Coturnix japonica: one gene and its partner. The protein of the gene in region 1 binds, or shares a complex with, the protein of each later gene. Links are inferred from orthologs where the notes say so. Each region holds a gene or a part of one and is shown in the gene's direction. Other genes may lie near its edges.

Region 1 (10,881 bases):
TTTAGTCGAGCTATACAGGCATTAAAAGACCTAAAATGGAAATATTTAGAAGGAGGTGCAAGAGAAGGACAGGAAGACTTTAAATTAAAAAGAAAAAAGTAAAATAGTAATCACGTCCAAGGTCATTTGTGTTATCTCACGTGGAAGAGGCATTACAGTTATGCTACAGTATACAACCCAGATTAGTTCTGATCAAATACTTGAATAAGAGCCTTTTTGTTCACACATGAGACTAATACGGAGTTCTTTATATTAACAGTCCTCCAGTGAAGAAGAACAGGCCTTTGTTAGCAAATCTGGCTCTTCCTTTGAAACGCAGCACCACCACCTGCTTCACTGCCTGGAAAAAACTACGGTAAAAAAAAAAAAAAAAAAAAAAAAAAGTTTTCTAGTAAATTTCAACATTAGTCTAATTCTGAATGTTTTCAGTATTTTTTCTAAGTAATAAGCCTTTTGTGAACGTGATTAGTTGGGAAGAAAAGCCATTTGATTGTATTTTAAAGCATGGTACCCACTGCACTTGAAAAGGAAAGAGGGAGCCAGATGAGAGTCTCGTCTAGTGTGAAAGGTAAAGTGACATCAGCCTAGGCTAGCAGCATATGTGGCCTTCAGTGTGCATTTGATGGATCACCAGAATGGGCTGCCCAGTGGCTATGCAGTCTCCTCCTTGGAGATCTTCTATAGCCACCTGGATGCTGCTCTGGCGCCCTGCTCTGGGTGTCCCTACTGGAGCAGGGGGTGGGCCTCCAGAAGCCCCTTCCAACCTCAACCATTCTATTTTGCAGCTTCTCTTTAAGGTCTGGATACATAGTGGGACATTGTGTTTTTCATCTTAAAGTTACTGTCTTTTGTGTGTGTGTGTGTGTGTGAAAGGGCATAGTAATTCTTCTGCTATATTCAATAGAAAGTAATGTGCATTTCTTACCACCATTCTGAAAATAAAAATATAAATTTTTCCCCTTCCAGTCATTGCTAAAATATTATGTATTCATATATATAAATCAATGTTCTCCAGTAGACAACTTTTTCTTGTAAATAAAATAGCCCATTTGTTATATCACTTAGCTAGTTATATGTCATCTCTCAGGTGCTTATGTTTTTCCATGCTTACCTTCAGAATATTCAATCTTATATAATGGGTTGTAGGACACAAAGTCTTGCTTCCTACTCAGAGTATAATGTTGTTACTTTGCCAGTATTCAGCCTGGGTTCTTTTGGAACATTTTTGAGACATTCTGTACTAGAACCTGATAATAATAATCTGCCTTGAAATGTTCCACAGTTGAATATTACAAACATATTTTCAAAACCTAGTAGTAGCCACAGGTCTTGTTAAACTCTCATAGAAGTCATAAAAAAAAATCCATTTGGTGGAATTCAACCTCAAAACGTTCACGTTTCCTCTAATTATAAGGATGGAATATGGAAAGTTTATGTAAGCAACTGTCTGGCCAGATCTTGCATTCCAAAAATTTAAGATGCAAGTAGAAATTTCAGGCACCCAGATTGTGGAATCTGGAAAGCAGCTGTTTCCTGGTATACCAACAAGAACAAGATGCCTTCTTCATCTCTCCTCCTTCTTCAAAATAACTTCTTTTGAGTGGGGCATATACCAAATGCTACGCAAAGCAGTATTTAATCTTTTCCAACAAATCAAAGCCAATATAATAAAATCTTTCATACTCTATGAAACACACATGAGTAATGTCGTGGAATTCTTTGAAAGTTACATTAATAACGAAAATAATTGTACCAAATGTTATATTTTATAGGCTACATTTAGCTGATGTAAGAACAGTTAATTTGTAAGTGTAATCAAATAGATTAACTGGAGCCATTATATCATTTCAAAATGTTTCCAGTCTATATTAAAAGTTCATTCAGCAGCCCTCTTTAATGGACCCTACTAATTGAATTCTGTTGGTTGCTCCATAAAAGTTTTAGAAAGAACAAAATAATTTTCAGTGGGAAAATGAGCAGAACTGTTGGCAAGTAGAATGTAAGCCCTGAAAGAGAATCTGAAGACAGTGATCAGGTCTTTTTTCTCTCTGAAATTTATGTCCACTGTGTGATAGTGTTCAAAATCTTGTTTGTTGCTGACACATGCTTTAGATTAGTCTATTTTCAAGCAAATCTTTTCTTTCCATATCACCTGAAATGGGTATTCTTCAGTATCAGTCAATTCCACGCACATTTATGTTTGAGTGAAGGAAAAGAAGAAACAGAAATGATGATAAGCCTATGAAGGTGTTTCCATTTTTATCAACAGTTGGCTGCAGCTGATACACTATTTATTTTGCTCACATATTTTATATTTGCACTGTACCACAATTCTCCTGGGAAACGTGAGCATCTTTCTAATTAGTGAGTCCTTCTTTGAGGGGAAGATAGTTTTTTCTCTTTCCAATAGATAAACATGCAGCAGGCTAACAAACCTGACGTGAATGACACTGGGAAGAGTGTGAAACAGAGCATAGCCCCTAAACATTGCCAGGATATGTAGATAATTCCATTGATAACTTCAAAGAGGTTAGAAAAAAGGAGGCTTTCCGTAAGTGCATGTGAATGTGTCTTAATCTCAGTTTAGTTTGGGCTGCTGCTTTGAATACATATAAATATGTGTATATTCTTTCTTTATTTAGTCTCTTCCTATTATCAGCACCACTGCTTCACTGTTTCAAAATGTGGAAATCACAGCTTAATGTGAAGCAATCCCCACTCACTTACCAAGTCAACGTAAATTGCCGTTTGCTTGAATCTAGATTCAGTTCTAGGACAACCCTATGAAATTACTGAATTTTTGTCTGTGCTGGGATTAAGCAAGGATCGCAAGGACAAAGACCTTATTTAATGAAACACTCCATCTTCAGAACTGATTTTGATATTTAGATCTGCAGTAATGAGGAGCATACTGAATGGTTTTATATAACTGTTTCACTATCTCCTGCAAACAAAGGGTATATTTATTTGATTCTTTTTCTATTACATACATGCATACCTTGAAACAGTGCTTCAAATCCTGCTTTCTAATGTGTAATCCAAAACTGACGTATTATGAAGTCATCTGAGAAATATTTATCAATTTTACTCTAGTTTTGTTCAGCAAATCCTATTTCTCAATGGCATTTAGGGCATTTACATAAGCACCACTTTTATATTTACAAATAAACATAATCCCCCATTTTCTGGCACTCCTCAGATAACAGACATTCATAGCGCAGCCTACGATATGGTTTTACAAAAGAACTTGGGTTATTTTTTCATAGCTAAGTACCTTGAGAGTTTTGTTCCAGTGTTTACATTCGTACTGGTATTCAGCCCAGGCTACTATGGGCTAAACACTGTAATCAAAACTAAGCTGTCTAACTTTACTGATTTATTCAGTGGTACCGATTTAAGCCTTTAAGTAAGCATACTTAATATGTCCATTTTAATTAACTTTCTGTGTGTGCTTTGTCCCTTTGCTGGGTTCCTTTGTGCTAGAATCATGAGTTTGTGGATGAACAGCTTTATGAAGAGAGCTGCATGGAGGTTTCTACAGTCAATCGACCCCCGAGCCACAGCCCCTCTCTTTCATCCCAACAAGGCGTCACTGGCACTTGCTGCTCACGAAGACATAAAAAGACGTACCGCATCCCCAACACTGCCCTCACGGGCAGCCGCCACGGCAGCGTACAGGAGCTCAGTACCATCCAGATCAGATGTGTAGAGAGGACACCTCTGTCTAACAGGTACTTCTTAGCATCAGCGCACAAGGAGCTGAAACCTATTTGTTTACTAGGAATACGCTTTGGCCTCCACAAATAGCCTGGGAGGCTGCAGATAAAACTGAAATTGTCATCTAGAATGGACAGTAGTCCTGAAATAGCCCACACTCTGCTTTCTCCTAATGTAATTCTAAGGTAAAAGAATAGTCAGTCTCTTCTCATTTCTGCCCTCTTATGTCCTCCCCATAAACCGTTGTGTGCTCTTTGCAGAGAATAGCATCCAGGGACTCCAAATGATATAAAATACCAAACAGTACAGCTCACAGGCAAACACAGAAGAAGAAAAAGCACAGAAAAATGTGCAGTTCTCATACACAAGACAAGCAAATGGGGAATAAACGAAAAATATGCTGTTTATTTAGTTCAGAAACGTAGCACAAATTACACTTCCAAATAAGGGAGAGAAAAGGGAAATAAAAGTAGATTGCCAGAGTCGTAAGCGCTGTAGTAATAAGAAGGTCTCTACCAAACAGAAAGTATGAAATGGGTAAGAAAAATGTATTTTGAGTAGTTATTACAAAAGTGAGGAATGTACAGTTTAAGTTTGCAATTTATTGAAAATCTCTGTACTCTCACAAATATACTGTTTGACTTTTAGGTGTATCTGAGCACCATCTCTTGAGAACATAACAAAGGCATCAGAGGGCTCAGAAATGTTGAACTCAGATGTGCTGCCATTTAAAAAAGATGTGTTCTCATCATGAGTTACTAGAAAGATTCACTTTTTAAGTGACATTTTGAGTAGCTTGCTTTAAATAGTTATTAGGTTTGGATTTCAATTCTATGAATAATTCAGCAGCTTGTAGCTAATGGAGTTTTTCAGCTCTTGGTCACCACAGAGCTCCAATCTATCTTGGATTGCCTGGACCCATCCTTTCTCTGCTGGCAGACTTTCTTGCACCGCACATCCCATCACAGAATAACTAACACAGTGAGAGGAAAAAAAAAAAAAAAAAGAAAAGAAAAAGAAAAAAAAAAACTAAATAACAACAAAGTTTGAACTGCCAGTCTCACCTTTTGTGAGTTAGCTTTAAGTTTCTTATTATGCTGAGTTTCACTAACTCAAACAATTTGTGTTCGTATCACTGCATCTTACTACTGACGGTATGTAATGTACAAAGGCTCTTACATAAAGATGACATCGGGGATTCAGTAGGGTACGGGGAATTTCACTTAGTTTCTGCTTCCCTGCAATGTGAGGCATTTGTCGATGCTGTTTGCTCTCCAGTGAGCAGCCCAAATGCTCAGAAACACTTAGGTGATGAGCTGAGAAACTTTTAGAAGCGTAGAAGGTGGGAAAAAAGGGGGGAAAGGCCATAGCCCTGGGCCGCCTGCTCCTGGGGTAGGTGTTGGTAGGGGCCCAGTGCCACTATGTCCCTCTGAACTCCATAACAAGGCAGGGCAGAGAGGATTGCACTGAGCACACATCAGGTGTGCAGGAATATGGACTTGCTTTCTTCATGAGTTCTTGTTTCTTCCTCCAGCCGATCCAGCTTAAATGCCAAAGTGGAAGAGTGCGTTAAACTAAACTGTGAGCAGCCTTACGTCACTACAGCAATAATTAGCATCCCAACACCTCCCGTCACCACGCCTGAAGGAGATGATAGGCCAGAGTCTCCCGAGTATTCAGGAGGAAACATTGTCAGAGTATCCGCTTTATAAAATAAGGAATTATTTATAAATTAGAATAAAGACCACTTATAAGCTGAGTTCTGCAGAGAGAAACGAGTCCTGAGGAATGAGAGAGCTGACAAAGACAACACCCCCTGATGTGTGTGCCAGCAGCAACGGAGTGAGACATTCAGGAGAACCACAACAATTTGTGGCTGTCAGTGTCACAGCGTGGAAAACAATGGAGTTTCTACATAGTGTTGGAACTGACACACAGTGGAAGTTTCTGTGACCATCCTGACTTACTGTAGAGCACAATGAAATGTCCCCATTGATGCTTCTTCTTATCATGAGAGCTCTTTTTAGAAAGAAAAAAAAAAAGAGAGAAAAAAAATGAAAAAAAAAAGAAAAAGTACACATAAAACAAAAAAAAAAAAGAAACCTGTGTTCCTGCTGAATGCAAAACAAGAAACATTTTGATAACTTGTCTTTTTTTCCTCCTGTTAATAAACCACAAACTTGTTGAGAAACTATTAAAAAAATAAATAAATAAAAGAAAAAATGCTCATAATGAAATATGTTTGTACTGACTGAAAGAAATACAACCATAATGCATGCTGAAATTATTTGGAGCTGTGATCTCAGTTTACTTTTGTTGTTTTTCAGATTAGGCATGATAAAATATTACTGTAGAAAGGGGCATTTCTGTGCACTTACAACAAGCTGATTGTTAATGTTCCATGGTAGTTGTACAAATAACTTCCCTTTGAAAAATGCAGTGTTTCTTATTCAAACACTCATTAGTGTACTAAAGGTGTTCAGTTAGTTCAATATTTACTATTGTTTTATCTTGCTTCCTAGGTACTGTTACAACTGCAATAAGTCATTGTACACCTGTTGTATCAGGAATCAGGATTTGTTTTTCTTTAAGGTATTTTACACAACTTCATCTACACTATAAATGTCTAATGGCAAATATCTACATAATCTTACAGCCAAACCGTGCACCACAAATGTGCTATTCAGTCACTGTTCTTTTTGTCCTCTGTCCTCTGTTTCTATCACAGTTCATTGTCTGCTCCAACATTACCATGCTGTTTGGGATTTCAAGGCTGCTAATGAACAGGCGTAGTCCTTAGTTCTGCAGACATCTTGTCTCATTCTGTATTTTCAGAACAAACCTCTTGTCCAAGTGTAGTGTTGCAGGATCACTCCTATTTAAATTGAGATTGGAACAAAGGCAGTTTGGAGATCAACTAACATTGTTCTCTAAGCCTTCCCTATGGATGTTCTGCAGCATACAGAGTGTTGGCTGCAGTGGAAGATGCTGAAAGACATTCAGTAAAAACAATGGAAAAATTATTCTTGCAGTTATCTACTAACTTGAATCCTAAAATTAGTTTGAGGATTTATATTGTGTTAAGGTATGTAATTCTCTAAGAACACTGATAAATAATGGTTTGGGTCTCAAAGCTATAAAAATGTGACTGATTTCTATTGGAATTTTCCAGTGGGCTGATCTAACAGGTACTATGAAGGCTCTCTTAGTTAAGGTTTTTTGGCTTCATTTTTAGAAGACACTGGTGTTAGCAGAAACCTTTCTGATACAAAAAGGACACTTTTCTTCATGAGAGTGCATTAGATGATGTATCATAATGCTTCATAGGAATGTACACAAACTACCATACATCCTATACATCAAATATACATGGAATATTTGCATATCAGTGCGTACATATATACATCAAGAACACTGGATCAGAAATAATTGCATGTCTGCAAAATAAAATATGCATATAAATCAAAAGACTCGGTACATTAGAGGCCATTACAATAAATGATTAACACAGTTATTTAATAGTTTGAGTAGTATATATTTCAATATAGTATTTGTTAGCATTCTACTGACCTTAAATTTTACATTAGGAGATGACACCCACTAAAAACTGAAACTTGCTGATAGGACACTTTTTACTGCACACACATAATTCTCTGTACCTGTCAACAGAGACTGAAGAGTAGATGATGGACTATCATGCTACAGTATATACACCAAAATGTAACAACTTCACCTATTAGAATTGAATTGCAATCAAAAGGAGCATATAATGTAATACATTATGCTTTTTTTCCTACTGTTTGCTTATTCAGATGCTTGGTTAATTTGCAGTTATCAACTCACTTTTTGTTCCAATCAGAAAAATTTACTGTAAACCGAGCTTCTAAATTTCTTTCAGATTGTAACAGATAGCAGAAGCACAGATTGTCCTCTGACAGAAGAACACTCACTTTGAGTCATTCTGATGTCAGCTATGCTGTGTTGCATGCCTGTCTTTTACCCTGTTAGAAAACTGTGGTATATCTGCTGAAGCTGGTGGGATACCTAAGTTTAAAGGGGTTAACATGAGAGCTAGAACAGACCTTGAGCTTATGCTTACATCCTCCATCTACCCACGGTCACTCATAAAAAACTGGCTTGGCCCCCACCTTGTGCTAAAAGAACTATTGACATAAAACTGCCTTTACACTAGCATATCTGCAACAGCAGCTTAACGCCATATGGTACTTCTTGAGTAGGAACATAGTTAAATAATGTTAAAAGGCAGTTACCAAACCCAGTTTGGGACAGATTACATACAACCCAAGAAACCTATTGACTCCATCAGTTCACGTGTCTCTTAAAAGCTCTTTATTCTCCTTTTTGCATGGACTAAAAGAATTGCACTAGAGCAATACACTTGCATAACAGTTAGTTACATCCCAAAACCAACCTGTACCTTCATTCTTAAATTGCAGTTTAGGGAATAATTTAGTATGATTTTGCAGAATTCTAGTCTTGTCTCATATCTCCACATGCCACATGCGAGATCATTGCGTTATTTTGAATTTGGAAAATACACATTCTTTTGGTGTTTTAGGTGATTTAAATGCTGTTTTGGTAGTGAATGACTGTTGATGACTGTGTAAAATGCATCTGTACTGTACATGAAATGTAATTATTTCTGTGTATCATACAAAGAAACCGAAGCTGTTGTTTTTGACAATTTTGTTTGACAGTCATATATCGTATTTCAGAAGGCAGCATAATACATGTGTTATGCTGAATAAATAGACATTTGAGGAGTACTTAAATAAAACATCTGCATGCTTGAATGGGTCAACCTAGTTTTGCAATAACTTATTCATGGAACTTGTTTTTCTTTTTCTTTTCCTAACATGATTCAAAGAGCACTGAATCTGGGGGCAAGGACCCCCAATACTAGTTCCATGCAAGCACATCTGAGCTCATCTAAACCATAAGAGTCACCAAGACCACTCGGCCAGAGCTGCACCACGGAGCTGCCCATGTTTCCCTTCCACACTCCCTTTGCTAACAGAGCTGCTAAAGGAACCCTTTGCTATTTCATGCCCAGCCTGCAGCAGCAGCAGAGAAAACTGGGGCACTGAATTCTTTTCAGTAATATGAAATCTACCACTCTGTCTTTACTTCTTAGAAAATGAACATATCCAGTCACTGTCTGGATGCATATCCTAGGTGACAAAATCACCTCAAGACTGATATCAAATTCCCTTGATAAAATGTTAGTGCACATGCACATGTGTGAACAAAGTCCTTTTGTAGCGTGGAAGCAGCTAAAAACACACTGCAAATCATTTTGCAGAGGGCAACTGACATTGCAGGTGATGCCATACACCATAGCAATAAGAAGGATAACAGCCAACTTTATCAGGAGCTGAGCCAACCCAGGACATTTTTAACAAGAACGATGGCCTTCCCATAGAATGTCTACAGAGGATAAAGATTTTTGAGGGCTTAAATATACTCACTGTAGAAACACAGTCACTGCTAAATTCCTTTGCAGTGAGAGCTGAACTTGCTGTATGGGAAAGGGTGACATTCAAGGAGGAAATTGGTCTGGAGGAGGATAGACTAGTAAAGTGACAGGATAATAAAGGTTTGGACAGGGAGGGTACTCAGGAAGTAATGTGCTCACTTGCCTGTATCTGGGGCCCACAACAGTTTCATTTTGCCATTGACCATGGAAATATCCGAGGACGTTCAGGTACTCTGGAAAAGCAATTAGCAGTAACTATACAGCAAAAATGATACTGGATATGTAAATGGAGAGCCAGAACAGCGGTCAGGAGTGAACAACAGCCACATTTGGAACTGTAAGATATACCTAATTACCTAGTGTTTTTGATTTCTCACTTGCCCGTATTATGTATCAATTTACTATTCAAGTACTCATTTTCTTGGTATCAAGGCACAAGGAGCAAAGAAAAGGAGGGAGTAATGAATAAATGCAAATAGATGAATAAAAATTTTGATGTATTTAGGATATCCTGAGCTTTTAAAGAAATGTAGTAGATTATACCTGGATTTTGCAGTTTTAGATGCAATCTCATTTCACGTGAATTAAACACAATGCTTTAGTGGTAAAAGCTTTAAAAACTATTTTTAAAATCCCTCCTTGAATCATAATTTAACTGTGTAGTCACTGTCACCAACAGTGTCTCTTTTTACTATTCACTCCTTATAATTTTCCCCTAGATTTACAGAGTACTATTACAAAATCCACGGTTACAAAGAGAAAACAGTTACGTTTCCTCCATAAAGCCTTGTTATACGCTCTGTTGGCAGACACAGCAAGATCTTGTCCAAAGACCAGGAACAGCAAATTTTGCCTCCTAAGAAGTATCCCCATTCTCTCGGATTGTTCAGTATGAAGAAGAGGCAACTGTAAGAATGTTGTGGCAATTCTGCCACGTAACTAGCAATAGAAGACTAGAGGGAATGGCTTCAAGTTGCACCAGGAGAGATTCAAGCTGGACACTTGGAAAAAAATTTCCTCCAAAAGAGTGGTCAGGCACTGGAACAGGCTGCCCAGAGATGGTCCCCATCCTTGGAGGCATTAAAGAAATGTTTAGATGTTTTACAGAGGGACTTGTTTTAGTGTACAAATGTAGCTGGTAGGTGAACAGTTGGACTGGATGATATTGGAGGTCTTTTCCAACCTGGGTGACTCTATGATTTTATGATTCCTCAACCACAACACTGAGGGGCAAAAATGCACAAAATCCCAATCCAACAAACTGCAATCCACCACACAGTTTGTGGTTTGACTTTCTGTCTTTTGGCTGATGTGATTTTGTTCATTTTGGTTTTGAGGAGGAATGAAAACCAAGCAGCACTGGCCCAACCCACTGAGTGACTGCAGGTCACCCTATCTTGGACATGTCTTTTTTTTTCCTACATGGAATCTTGTCTGTAGCTCCAGAAATGCCACCCTGGCTAACTGGAAGGGGAGGGGGACACAGAAATCTTCTGGACATGTGCATTAATTTTGGGCATATGAATTTCTGAAAGGTGCATAAAGGTGTATTTCTTGGAAAGTCATTTTAAGCAAAAAAAAAAAAAAAAATGGGAAGCTCTATCCTTTATCTTTTTTCTAATCTCCCAAAATAAATATTAGCATCTCTGTAGGGGAGGTACAAAAGC
Region 2 (10,881 bases), on another chromosome or scaffold:
TGCTGGATGTAGGGAGTCATTTCACGTGAGGACCTCAGTCTGACCACTGAAGATGAACCTTCTGAAACCTCTTTTGTGCTCCGGCTGGTCAATAACAAAGCATACAGCTTTTAAGACAGGACTCAATAGGTTAATATATAGTATAATATGATATAACCCCCTACAATGGGGAGCAGAACTAAGTGCATTCTTAAACATTGTGTTCTCCTATCTTGCTGACATACCTTTCTTGCTGTGTATGGGAACCCAGTGCAGGACACCGTGCTGAGAAGGAGAGGCTGTGTCAGCACCCCTAATGCAAACCAGAGGCACCTGAGCCTTGCAGCTCTTAACAGACCTGGGGTTTATCCAATCCCCCAACTTCAGTTCTGCAATTATTTTGCAGTACAGAGGCAATACATTTGAGGGAAAGAATAATGATGAAAGTGCACTTAGCTTGTGAGTTCAGCCCTTCAGTAAGACCCCACTGATGGTCTTGGTGTTAATTGACAGTGCTGGCACGATCCTGGCTTTGTCAAGTCATTAGGAAAGCAGCGTGTTTTCTTCCAGCTGCTGTGGGTGCAATGTGCATGAAGCTTTAATATTTAAAGTTTAAATTGAAAGGGCAGCTATAGCTTTTCTATCCTATAAATCATGGTTTCAATGGAATGAGTAATTATGCACAGTAGGCAAGCTATCTCAGCTGTTACCATATTTCCTGTTGTACTGAACCGTGTGTTTCTTGGGATGATGTTACAGTGCCATCTGGAGATTCAAAGTCCCTGTGGGAATGCAGTCATTTTTCTCTCCAGCTCATGCTGCTTGCTCTCACTGATTGCACAGGTCGTGTTTAATCACAAGGCAACAGCTGGGTTACCACAGGGCTGCAGGCACTTGGAATAGCACAGGAGGAACGAGGTCCTTCTTGGTCCTGCTGTATTCATAGCAGCCAGGTGTTAGTGGGATTCTGTTAGGGGAATGGCTGCCATCTGCAAGGGACACTTTGCAAAGATTCATTGAGAGAGCAGCAACCCCAAACAATGAAGGGATTGTTGGGAGCACGCTGGCTTTGCTGTAGTGTTGTAGAAGTTGGAGAAGGTCGATCCATACATGTGATGAATGCTGCCAGTGCTTGGTAGAGAGGTTTTGGGAAAGGCTGGGATTGTTTCTGTGCTTGCCAACAATACAAACCAAGTGTTCACTTCTCACGTCAGACACTTGGGAAGAATTCATAGGTTTAATAGCAAAAATGAGGTATTTACATGAAATTTAACCCGCTGCTGTCAAAGGAAAGCTTTGTGTGCATTGGAGTGGGGTGTGCTGTTTCATGCTGCTATGAAATTTCCCTTGCATGAGGAAACCTCTGCTGCCTTCAGTGGAATTTCAACTGGCACAGAGTTTATCTGCTCCTTTTCACAGGAGAGATTTCTTTCGAGTCAGCTGCCTTAAGATGTGCTGTAGCATTAATGAGGCCTCTTGAGCTTTATTCGACTCTTACAAAACAAAATGGTGATCAGTTAAGCACAAATGAATTGCTAGTAACGTATGTGTCTGAAATCAGCCTGTTATGTACAGCTAAACAGGGCGATCAGTGTCAGTACTGCGCTCCTGAAGGTTTGATGCATAATAGGTAGTCCCTGTAGTTATAAACTGTCTTAAAGCATTGTAGTGGTGAGGAAGGGGGGTGCTTTTGGTGTTGCCAGAAGTGCCCCTCCTTGCTCTCCTGTGACTCACATAGGATGAAGTGATTTCTTTGTTCTGCCCTTCCCGTGGCTGGGGAATGCGCGTCAGCAGCAGGTGACGCTGCAGATCAGACATATTTTCTGTTAATAAGCTTTTCTTGATGGCAGAATTTCTTGTCAAGGTCCTTTTGTTCTTAAAAGACAACCTAAAGAACTCATCAATAACTCACTGGCTTGAATCTTCCTCTGACTTTGTGTCATGGATTCAAAGGGATTTTCTCAGGCTTCCTGAGTTTGCTCATCCCAAGTTCAACGTCCTGTAAGCAGCAGTTGACAATGGATTTTGTCACTTGTGCTGGTTGGGTAAAAATATAACTGTGGTTGAACTCAAGTATGCTATATCACAGGATGGATGAGCTTTTAAACAAAGTCATGCAAATGGGGCCTTTGAACAAGATAAGGCTTTGGATCTCTGAGTCTAAATAGGAACAGTGGAGGTTATTCTGTGCAGAGGGATGGGCAGTGGTTCAGGGTGGCTGACTGGGAGATAAAGCTACATCCTGGTGCTGACTTGCCTTGGTTTGTGAGATTTGGGGTTTGCTTTTTAATTAAGCCTCTGGATTGAGGCACACAGCAAAACTAAACCTGGTCCTGAATTTTATTTGGGCTGTCCTGAAGTGATGATCTAGTTTCAAGCCTCATACCAGTGCTTGTGTTTGAGAATTTGTTGGCATGTACTGTTAGCCTCCATGGAGCTGGTGTGGGGGTATCTGGCTACTTGGGGCTAATATAGAGGGATGGGGCAGGGAAGTGTTAGCTGGCAGTGATTTGTGATGTATTAAAGGAGGCCTTTGTGTGACAGAAAACACGAGCTGGCTGTCATCTGTTTAAAAAAAAGGAATTAAACACTGCTGAAAACACCGTTAACAATGTTGATAATGGCGAACCAAATCTGTGAGATGCTTGGAGTGAAATCTGAATTGTTTTAATTTCTTCAGCTGTGCAGCTCAAGCATCCGGAGTGCTGTGGGAGCAGGGGTGTGATCTGTCTAATTGCTCTCTTTGGGCTCATGCAGTTTTGCAAATGAACCTTAACATGAAGCTGGGGTGTGTGTTTTGATTGGATTTTGTTTCTTTTTTTTCCAACAGGAATGTCCTAGCGGGGTGGTTAATGAAGAGACATTCAAACAGATCTATGCACAGTTTTTTCCTCATGGAGGTAAGCTGGATGCTTTGTTAGGTTTATTGAAGCGTTCCTTAACATTCATTGTTGTCACCTGGCTGCAAAGCTGCTTGGATACTCTGTGCTAGGAAAGTGAGGTAAGGGCTGTAGGATCTTGCACAAAAACGCGAGCAAGGAAAGAACATTGATGAAGGCCCTTTGAACAGCTGGGTAACAGGAATAAAGGCAAACCCATGTTAGAGATTGCCAGTAGTCATCAGCCACAGAGCAATGTGCTGCTGTGAGATGGAGTTGCTGCTGGAGCTAATGCTGCATTGGCTCTGGAGATAGGCTCGTGTGCTTCTTTTTGCATTCTTTCTTGCAAGCACTGCCCCACAATCCAGATCATGCTCTGTGCAATAAAAACTTTTGCATTCAGTGGGATGGGGTTGTGGTTTCTGCAAGTCTATGTTAATGTTTGCTGACTCACAGAGTGGCAGTGCATTAAGGATGGCTTTATGCTGAATGAGAAGTTGCTGAGAGCCAGTGGTGTATAAGGAGCTGTTGTACCAATCGATGCCTTTTGTGTTTTCCAGATGCTAGCATGTATGCACATTATCTCTTTAACGCATTTGACACTGCACAGAATGGCTCAGTGAAGTTTGAGGTAACTGTTTTGGGTCCTGTCTTAATGCCCTTTTTCTCGGGTCTGTGTGTTTTAGCTTCCCTATCCATTCTTCATTGTAAACTATGGGATTTGCTGGGCTATGGAGGGCTACGACAAGCTGAAACGTCCAAATCTCATTCTGTTTAACGCAGGCTTCTCATGCAGATGGATTGGATTCCAGTGGAAAACTGGAGAAACAAACAGACCATTAGTCAGTAGCATAGGAGTGTTAATACCACACGGAGAAAGTGTAGAGGTTTATGTAGCAGAAAGCAGAGGGCTCTAAAAGTCCCATGTGAGCAGAGACCAGTGAGTGGCACAGATAAGAAGGACCAGAGAAGCTCACGCTTCCTGCAACTGTCATGCATTGCAGGGTTTCATGTGTATGTTCCTGGAAAATCAAACTGGCCAAATCCTCATTAGTCCAAGGTGTGACAGAGAAATTGTTGATCAAATGTGGGAAGGTTGCTGTATGTAAATGCATCTCTGTAGTGATGGCTGCAGTGGGAGTTCTGCCTGTAGCAGCTCTTCGTGGAGAGCTTTATGAGACTTCCAGAATCCTAAATGGACTGACCCACAGCAAAATGCTTAGACAAGTATATTAAAAAACGCTGAGCTTTCCTTCCTGGCAAATCGGTCTCTTTGGTGGTTATCAAATGTAAGCATTTTGTCCCCTTTTTTGTATTGTTCAGCAGACTTTAATTTCTCTTGAGTGTGGGTAAAAAGGAACAAAGGTCTTTAGGAAGCGGTGCTCTGCCCATGCAGAGCCAGTGGAGATGACACAGGGCAGACCAAGTGTGTTAAATGAGGCACCAGGTAGAATGTAGTTGCTTTAACTTAAAGCTCTGCCTATAATAACAAATACAGCAGTGCTGCTGAACCATTGTGCAGCACAAACAATAAATCAGTGTTATTGGAAGCAATAACTCCGCTGTAAACCGAAAATGCAAACAAAATACCATGTCCCAGATTGAGTTAGTAGAGGTGGGAAACACACCTGGCTAAATGTGTTGTGTTTTGCCAGAGGACAAAACCTGAGCTTCCCTGTGTGGCAGAGGAATCTGGCCATCCCTCTCAAGGTGGGCACAGAGAGGGATGCACAGTAGAGTAATTGAGGACTGTTGGGGTTGTTCCCAGTTACCTCTTACACATTTATTAACACTGCTCGGGTCATCTCAGCGAGTGCTGTGTCCATTGAGTTCAGTCAGAGAGGATACATTCATCCTAGAAAGGGAACTCCCTCAGTGGATGTAGTGAGGGATTTGACTCGGGAAAGGAGACTCAGATTCTCATTTCTCTCTCTGCTTCAAACCAGGATTTTGTGATGGCGTTGTCCATTCTGTTGCGGGGAACAGTTCATGAAAAGCTAAGGTGGACGTTTAACCTGTACGACATAAATAAGGATGGCTACATAAACAAGGAGGTAGGGCTGTTTGTGACAAATGTGGTTGATTTCTATGACAGCTGACTTGTTTCTGTTGCGTAGCACAATTAATGTTGCATAGAGTTCATCAAACATAGAAACTGGACCTGAGTGTTTTTCTGTCTAAAAAAGTGCAAAGTGATTGTATTATAGATGCATTTTCCTATGGTTATGCTGGCTTTAATGGTTGGCTCTTACCTGGGGAAAAATCCTGGTTTAATCTATGAGCAATGCAGTACTTTGAGGGGGAGGGGATGATGACAGCAGGTACTCAGTGACCAAGGCATATAAGGGGCTTCTGGCTGCACTGGGAGGTGTGATGTGGGCTCACCCAGAGCACCACAAGCCCCCCGGATTTATAGGTTAGCATGTATCTGATGATGCATCTGTCTGCATGCATGTGTTCTTGGGGCTGACAGCAGATATGGGTATGAGATCTGTGCTGTTTTGTTAACAGGAGAATGTGAAGAAAAGGGAAGTGAAATAAATGTGCTATCATTTCTATTAATTTCCCTGTTGTGCTTCTCTTGTCATGTCACTACTGCAGGAGATGATGGATATAGTAAAGGCAATCTATGATATGATGGGAAAGTACACGTACCCAGTGCTGAAGGAAGATGCTCCAAGGCAGCACGTAGAAATGTTCTTCCAGGTACTTGATTTCTGATGACTTCCCAACACCTGAGCTATTCACTGATGCACTTTAAGATTAATCCCAGCTGTCTTGCTGTTTCCTACTGTACATCCTAAAACAAATTCTAGTAGCAACCGAGCACTACAGTGCCTGCTGAATTCTTGAGTCTGAGGTATCCTTTCTGACTTAGCCCAAACCTTTGCAATGGCATGTATCACAGTCATTTGGTGCTTCTCCTATCAACTGTCCATAAAGACAGACAGCAATAATATGGTAAGGCAGTGAAGAAATAAATCATGTAATATGAGCAGAGGTTGCTGCATGTGTATAAGAAAGGTACAAGTGGAGATGACCAAAGTTCTCCAAATACAAGAGTGAACCAGTCTTTAGCTGCCAGCAAATTTAACCAGTGATACTAAGTCTGTAATGTAGGTCACATGCCCTAGGTTTATTCAAGTTACAGCACATAAGATGTTGTACAAGAACCACCGTGTTATCTATGGGAACTAAATGCTTGTTTTTATTTTGCAGAAAATGGATAAAAACAAAGATGGTGTTGTAACTTTAGATGAGTTTATCGAATCGTGTCAGGAGGTAAGGATGAAATGCTAAGCTCAACAAAAGGTGCAGGACATGCCACGAGGCCATCATTCCTAAGAAGATGGAGGAATGATGCTGTAGATCTCTGAAGTTGCTCAATTTGGAACATAATTTTGGTGTTGCAGTTATTCTGAGTGTTGGAATAACTGAGTTTATAGGGAAACATGTCATTGTTTCTTTGAAGTAATAACCAGAATAATTCTAAGTACACTTTCAGTGCTTCTTGAGAAACAATCTGGTCTTTCCCTTATACGTCTCCAACTCTCTCATTTGGACCAGGGGCCTGAGAGAGGCTGGGATTTCATGCATTCTTGTTTTGAACCCGAGGTGTTTCTGTGAGGATGTGGTCCTTCATGGCAGCATGTTTGTCCATTCAAAGCTGTCATTTCATTTGGGCTTTAGAGGCAGATGGAGCTAAATACACACCTTCATATTCAGGATCAGTGCAGAGCAATGGGTGCCTATGTCTGAGGGCGCAGCTTCAGTGCTGGTTCAGCTTTTCTTCAATGAAGCACAACCCATGCTGCAAGCCAAGCTTAGGAGAAAGTTCTGTGCTTGCATGCCTCAAAGCAGTCAAGGTGCTGAAGTAAAAGCACTGCTTTTCTGAATCAGGACCTAACTGCTGAATCCATTTAAGCTCACTGAAATGGAAAGCAAGGCTGTTGACTGCAGAGCCCCCTTCTGTGCCCTGCCAGGTTAGGAGTTGTGTTCCTCAGTGCTCCTTTCATGAACATGTCTTCTCGTTGCTTTCAGGATGACAATATCATGCGGTCCTTACAGCTCTTTGAGAACGTAATGTAACCATGCCTGGAAAGCACAGGAAGAGTCAGAGACTGCGTGTGTAACAAAGACCTCCTTTCTGGGTGAAAGCCTTTTACAATTCAGCCATGTTCTATTCAGCCAGCGTGTGAGGATTTTGTATGACATCTCCAACCAAATGGCAACTGAATGCAACTGATCCCATCTCTCCTCCTCGAGAGACAGCGGTGGACCTCTATTTTGTTTTGGAAGCATGCAAATACTTTAATAAAACCTGACGAGAGAGCTGCTGCTCGAAGCTCAATGAGTAATATACAGCATTCTGTTTGCAAGCCACAAGTCCTGCTTTAGTCTAGCAAGCTTGATTGCGTATGATAGCTCATGTTGATAGCATATTCAGCCACCTATTACAAGCAAAAAGCTCGGTCCGTACAACCATATGGCTGAATGTTTTCTGGATGCCTTGCCTTTAATCTGCTTTGAGAAAAAAAGAAAAAAAAGAATCTACAAGGGCCATCTGTAAAAATGAACAGTGAATGTACCCAGGACGTTAAGCAGGCAGCCCATGTAGCCAGCATCCCCATTTCTGCAGAGATCTCGCTTCTCACATGCACTGGTGCCACCACGCTGAGGCTGGTGGAGCTATTCCTGAGCGCATGAACTAGAGGAACTTCATGCCAGGGTTAGTCAGAAAGGAGCAAAGCATGAGTAGCACTTACATTTCAAACTGTAGAGCAAATCTGATTTCTGATGGTAAGTTGTTGCAGGACCAGGTAGGTTTATAAGGGCTGGCAGAGAAAGATGCATACCTGCTCTGGTTGCAGCCACCTTCTGCAGTCCCAGTGTGTTGTGGGACACTTAGCAGTTCTCCATTGTGCACCTCAGCAGCACCATGGCCGTATGTGATGATCCTTTTGCTGTAGTTTGGCACCTGCTTTCTAGATGCATCACTTGAACATTTGTATTTCTCCATTAGATGTTAAAGCAAAGTGTTTTCTACTCTGTGGATTTATTTAAGCTTTCTAGATTTACTTGTGACAGAAAAGGGCCGGGTGGTGCAGCTGCGTTCCCACATAAGGGCCCTGGCACCCACAGAGTACCAAATAAGATTAATGGCACCTACATGGTTGCTGTTAGTATCAGGAATGTCTGCCAGGGTAGCTCAACGTTTTCTAGAGCAAAATCTGTATCCCACAGGGCAGTTTCATGACTCGTACAAGTCCTGATCTTTACTAACACCCCAAAAAGCTTTGCTGTGGGGAATTGTTGATTTGTTTCTTTCAAGAGTGAAGCAGGAAGAGTCATGTAACGAATTTATACCAAGGTTGGATTATGTCCAGTAGATGTGTCTGATGAGGAACACGTCAGCCTGTTTTGCAGAGGACTCTTAAGGAAAATGGTTGTTCCCAAGCAGATGATGGTTGAGAAACCAAGGGAAGGAGGGAGCAGCCACCTGTGCCAGCTGCACAAACCACACACAAAGGAGAATCCCCTGTTGTAGTCCAGCATCTTTCCTGTCCAGTAAGCATATATTTTTATTATGTCAGATATTATATTGCAAATACACTGTTGGCACTGAAGATATATTTTAAATATTATGTAAGTGGAAGCTTTTTATAACACTAAAGATATAGTAAGCCTAGTTTCTGCAGCCCTATGTTTTATATTTAAAAAAGAATAATAATAATCTATTGAAATATTCCTGGTTGTAGAAGTAGGTCTGATCGGTACTAGAGTAATGCTGTGTGTATTCCTTAAGATGGGACATGATCCCTTTTACTGTGCTTCTGCACACTCTTCCATGTGTTCTTTGCTTTCTTCCCCCAAGTTGACCGCTTGTCATCAAAACAGCTGGTCAGCTGAGGGGAGTTACTTGTATGCAGGAATAACACTTTAGTCTGTCCTTTTGGCTGCCTTGCACACAGTTACCACAAATTAATTCCTTCTAGCAGAAGCAGAGCAGCTCCAGTGATGTGCTGGGATTCACAGAAGGGGATGCAGTGCCATGAGAGTAGCCTTGTCTTCCAGCTGTCCAGTATTGTCTCTTTGGTTTTTGTTTAATATAGGCACTTGATAAGGACATCAGCTGTAGCTGGAATAATGCCCCAAACTTATGTCGTTCCTTCATGATTCTTCTTGTAACCACTTGGGCAAATAACAGCATTCAGTGTAACAAGCAACCTGCTTTTTTCTCCTCCATCCCTGCAGAGCATTTGTCTGTTGTCAGTCTGAGCAGGTAACTTCACTGGACCAAAAAGAAAAGGGAAAGGAACCATTTGTGCTGAGTTATTCAGTGTCTTTCACCTCTAACACTGATGCTCCAAATGTGCTCACAAGATGGCATATGTAGCCTGAATATTTCTCAGAACTGGAATGTGCCTTTTTCATTAGAACAGAAACGTTATTAGCCATGTGATACTTGCAGTCCCTGGAGCTAAGGTAATATTTTGGGCCACTCTGATGAATTTGGCCTCAGTTGTGTTTTCAGCCTCCTCTAACAGAAGTGTTGTGTCCCATGGACCAGGACTGCTCTGGTTCAAGTACAGCCTGACTGAGCAACGTACCTGAAACATCTGCATGTTACTCTCAATGTATCTTTAAGTGCATTGCTGAAGCCAGGCTACTATTAGTGCCCTTATGCTTTTGGTATCTCCTCTTCTGCGCTGCTGTAGGTTTTTTTCAGTTCCCAGTAATGCATTAGGAAGAGAGGGAGATGCTGGAAGCTGCTCTGGTCCTGACTCTGCCCCTAAGCCATAATCAGAGCTCAGAGATGAGATGGATGCAGCACTGCTGGAGACGCTCAAGGTCAGGCTGGATGGGGCTCTGAGCACCCGATTTAGTGCAGGTGTCCCTGTTCAGTGCAGGGAGTTGGACCAGATGTCCTTAAAGGGTTCCTTCCAACTCAGACAATTCTGTGATTGTAAGTCTGTTGCTGCAATAGGAGGATTTGCCACGTGACGCACAACAGCAGTATTTCCTGTAGCTCTGATCGTAAATTCTGGCTGTGACAGAGCAGTTGCCTTTGTGAAACCATTTAATCTCCTGTGTTTGTCTACGAATCCCACTGATAGCAGCCAGAGGCTTGTGTGCATCAGTGCCCGAGGGCCTCAGGGCTTTCCATGAGCAGCATCTACGCGTGTGGCAGGTGACTGAGATCCAGTGACTGTGAGAGAGTCGTACTCTGCATGGAAATGTCTTTGGGTTTGCCTTTTATGTTCTCGGTGAACGTTAGTTTGTAAGCTTGCAAAGCCTCTCATCGCTCATAAATGAGGCTTGCAATATTTATGGCAAATACTTACCGCTACGGCTTTCTAAATAAAACATAGTATACTGTTCTGATCTCATCTCGCCATCAATCCTCCTGCCAGTTATGTGAAGGTGGCTGCTGCGCCGCCTGCTAAGGTACAGTCAGACTCCGCCAGTGCTCTCAGCTGTGCACATTTCCTTGAAGCTGTGGATGTTTCAGTAATGTCTTGCATTGTAAGTCTGACTGTTTCACTACTTGCGAGCATTAATCTGCATTTTCATGCCAGCGTTTTCTGAAAAGAGCCTTTCTAACATGTGCTTTAGGCAACCATCTGTTGAAAGATAGGAATATGATGAATGATGATGCAAAAAAAAAAATGCAAACAATGTAATCTGTCTGTTGTTGTCAATGTATGTTTTCCTGTTACGCATTGCAATACTGTCAGTAACTGTATGTTGAGTTGCAAACCTGAGGGTGCGGATGTTTGAAGGTTCCGGCGCCGCGGGCAGGACTTTGGCATTGCCTGGCTGCAGCACACGGTAAGAGCAGAGCACCTTCATGTCTGTGTGTGATCACTGCTAAGATGGCAGCAGCTCGTTGCTCGTGGGTGTGCCATGAAAGACTTGTGGCAAAGTGCTGCTGGTGTCAGTCGTGCAAACTAAAGCCATGCTGGTGGAGCGGCGGTGCATCGCTTCTATTAAAAATGCTGTTATCCGATGGCAGTTTGTA

What was found. The genes of interacting proteins can lie anywhere in the genome.
Region 2: the proteins of KCND2 (region 1) and KCNIP1 are in contact, whole or in part, in a cryo-EM structure (PDB 7E8E), measured with the Homo sapiens proteins. The link is inferred for Coturnix japonica from reciprocal best matches to the Homo sapiens genes KCND2 and KCNIP1. Residues at the interface, in NP_036413.1 of Homo sapiens: Ala2, Val5, Ala7, Trp8, Pro10, Phe11, Ala12, Arg13, Ala14, Ala15, Ala16, Ile17, Gly18, Trp19, Met20, Pro21, Val22, Ala23, Ser24, Gly25, Met27, Ala29, Pro30, Gln33, Arg35, Lys36, Arg37, Thr38, Gln39, Asp40; in NP_001030009.1 of Homo sapiens: Thr60, Arg62, Glu63, Val66, Leu67, Arg69, Gly70, Phe71, Asn73, Glu74, Phe85, Ile88, Tyr89, Gln91, Phe92, Tyr101, Leu105, Phe109, Phe122, Leu126, Leu129, Leu130, Lys137, Thr141, Leu144, Tyr145, Val162, Ile165, His185, Phe189.

The regions. Positions count from the first base shown.
Region 1 is NC_029516.1:21,136,645-21,147,525, reverse strand, and holds the end of KCND2 (potassium voltage-gated channel subfamily D member 2), read left to right. Parts: intron 1-259; coding exon 260-355; intron 356-3,483; coding exon 3,484-3,731; intron 3,732-5,251; coding exon 5,252-5,429; 3' UTR 5,430-8,539; downstream 8,540-10,881. UniProt on the Homo sapiens protein: Voltage-gated potassium channel that mediates transmembrane potassium transport in excitable membranes, primarily in the brain. Mediates the major part of the dendritic A-type current I(SA) in brain neurons.
Region 2 is NC_029528.1:13,394,559-13,405,439, forward strand, and holds the end of KCNIP1 (Kv channel-interacting protein 1), read left to right. Parts: intron 1-2,809; coding exon 2,810-2,879; intron 2,880-3,418; coding exon 3,419-3,489; intron 3,490-4,804; coding exon 4,805-4,912; intron 4,913-5,459; coding exon 5,460-5,564; intron 5,565-6,077; coding exon 6,078-6,140; intron 6,141-6,899; coding exon 6,900-6,947; 3' UTR 6,948-7,209; downstream 7,210-10,881. UniProt on the Homo sapiens protein: Regulatory subunit of Kv4/D (Shal)-type voltage-gated rapidly inactivating A-type potassium channels. Regulates channel density, inactivation kinetics and rate of recovery from inactivation in a calcium-dependent and isoform-specific manner.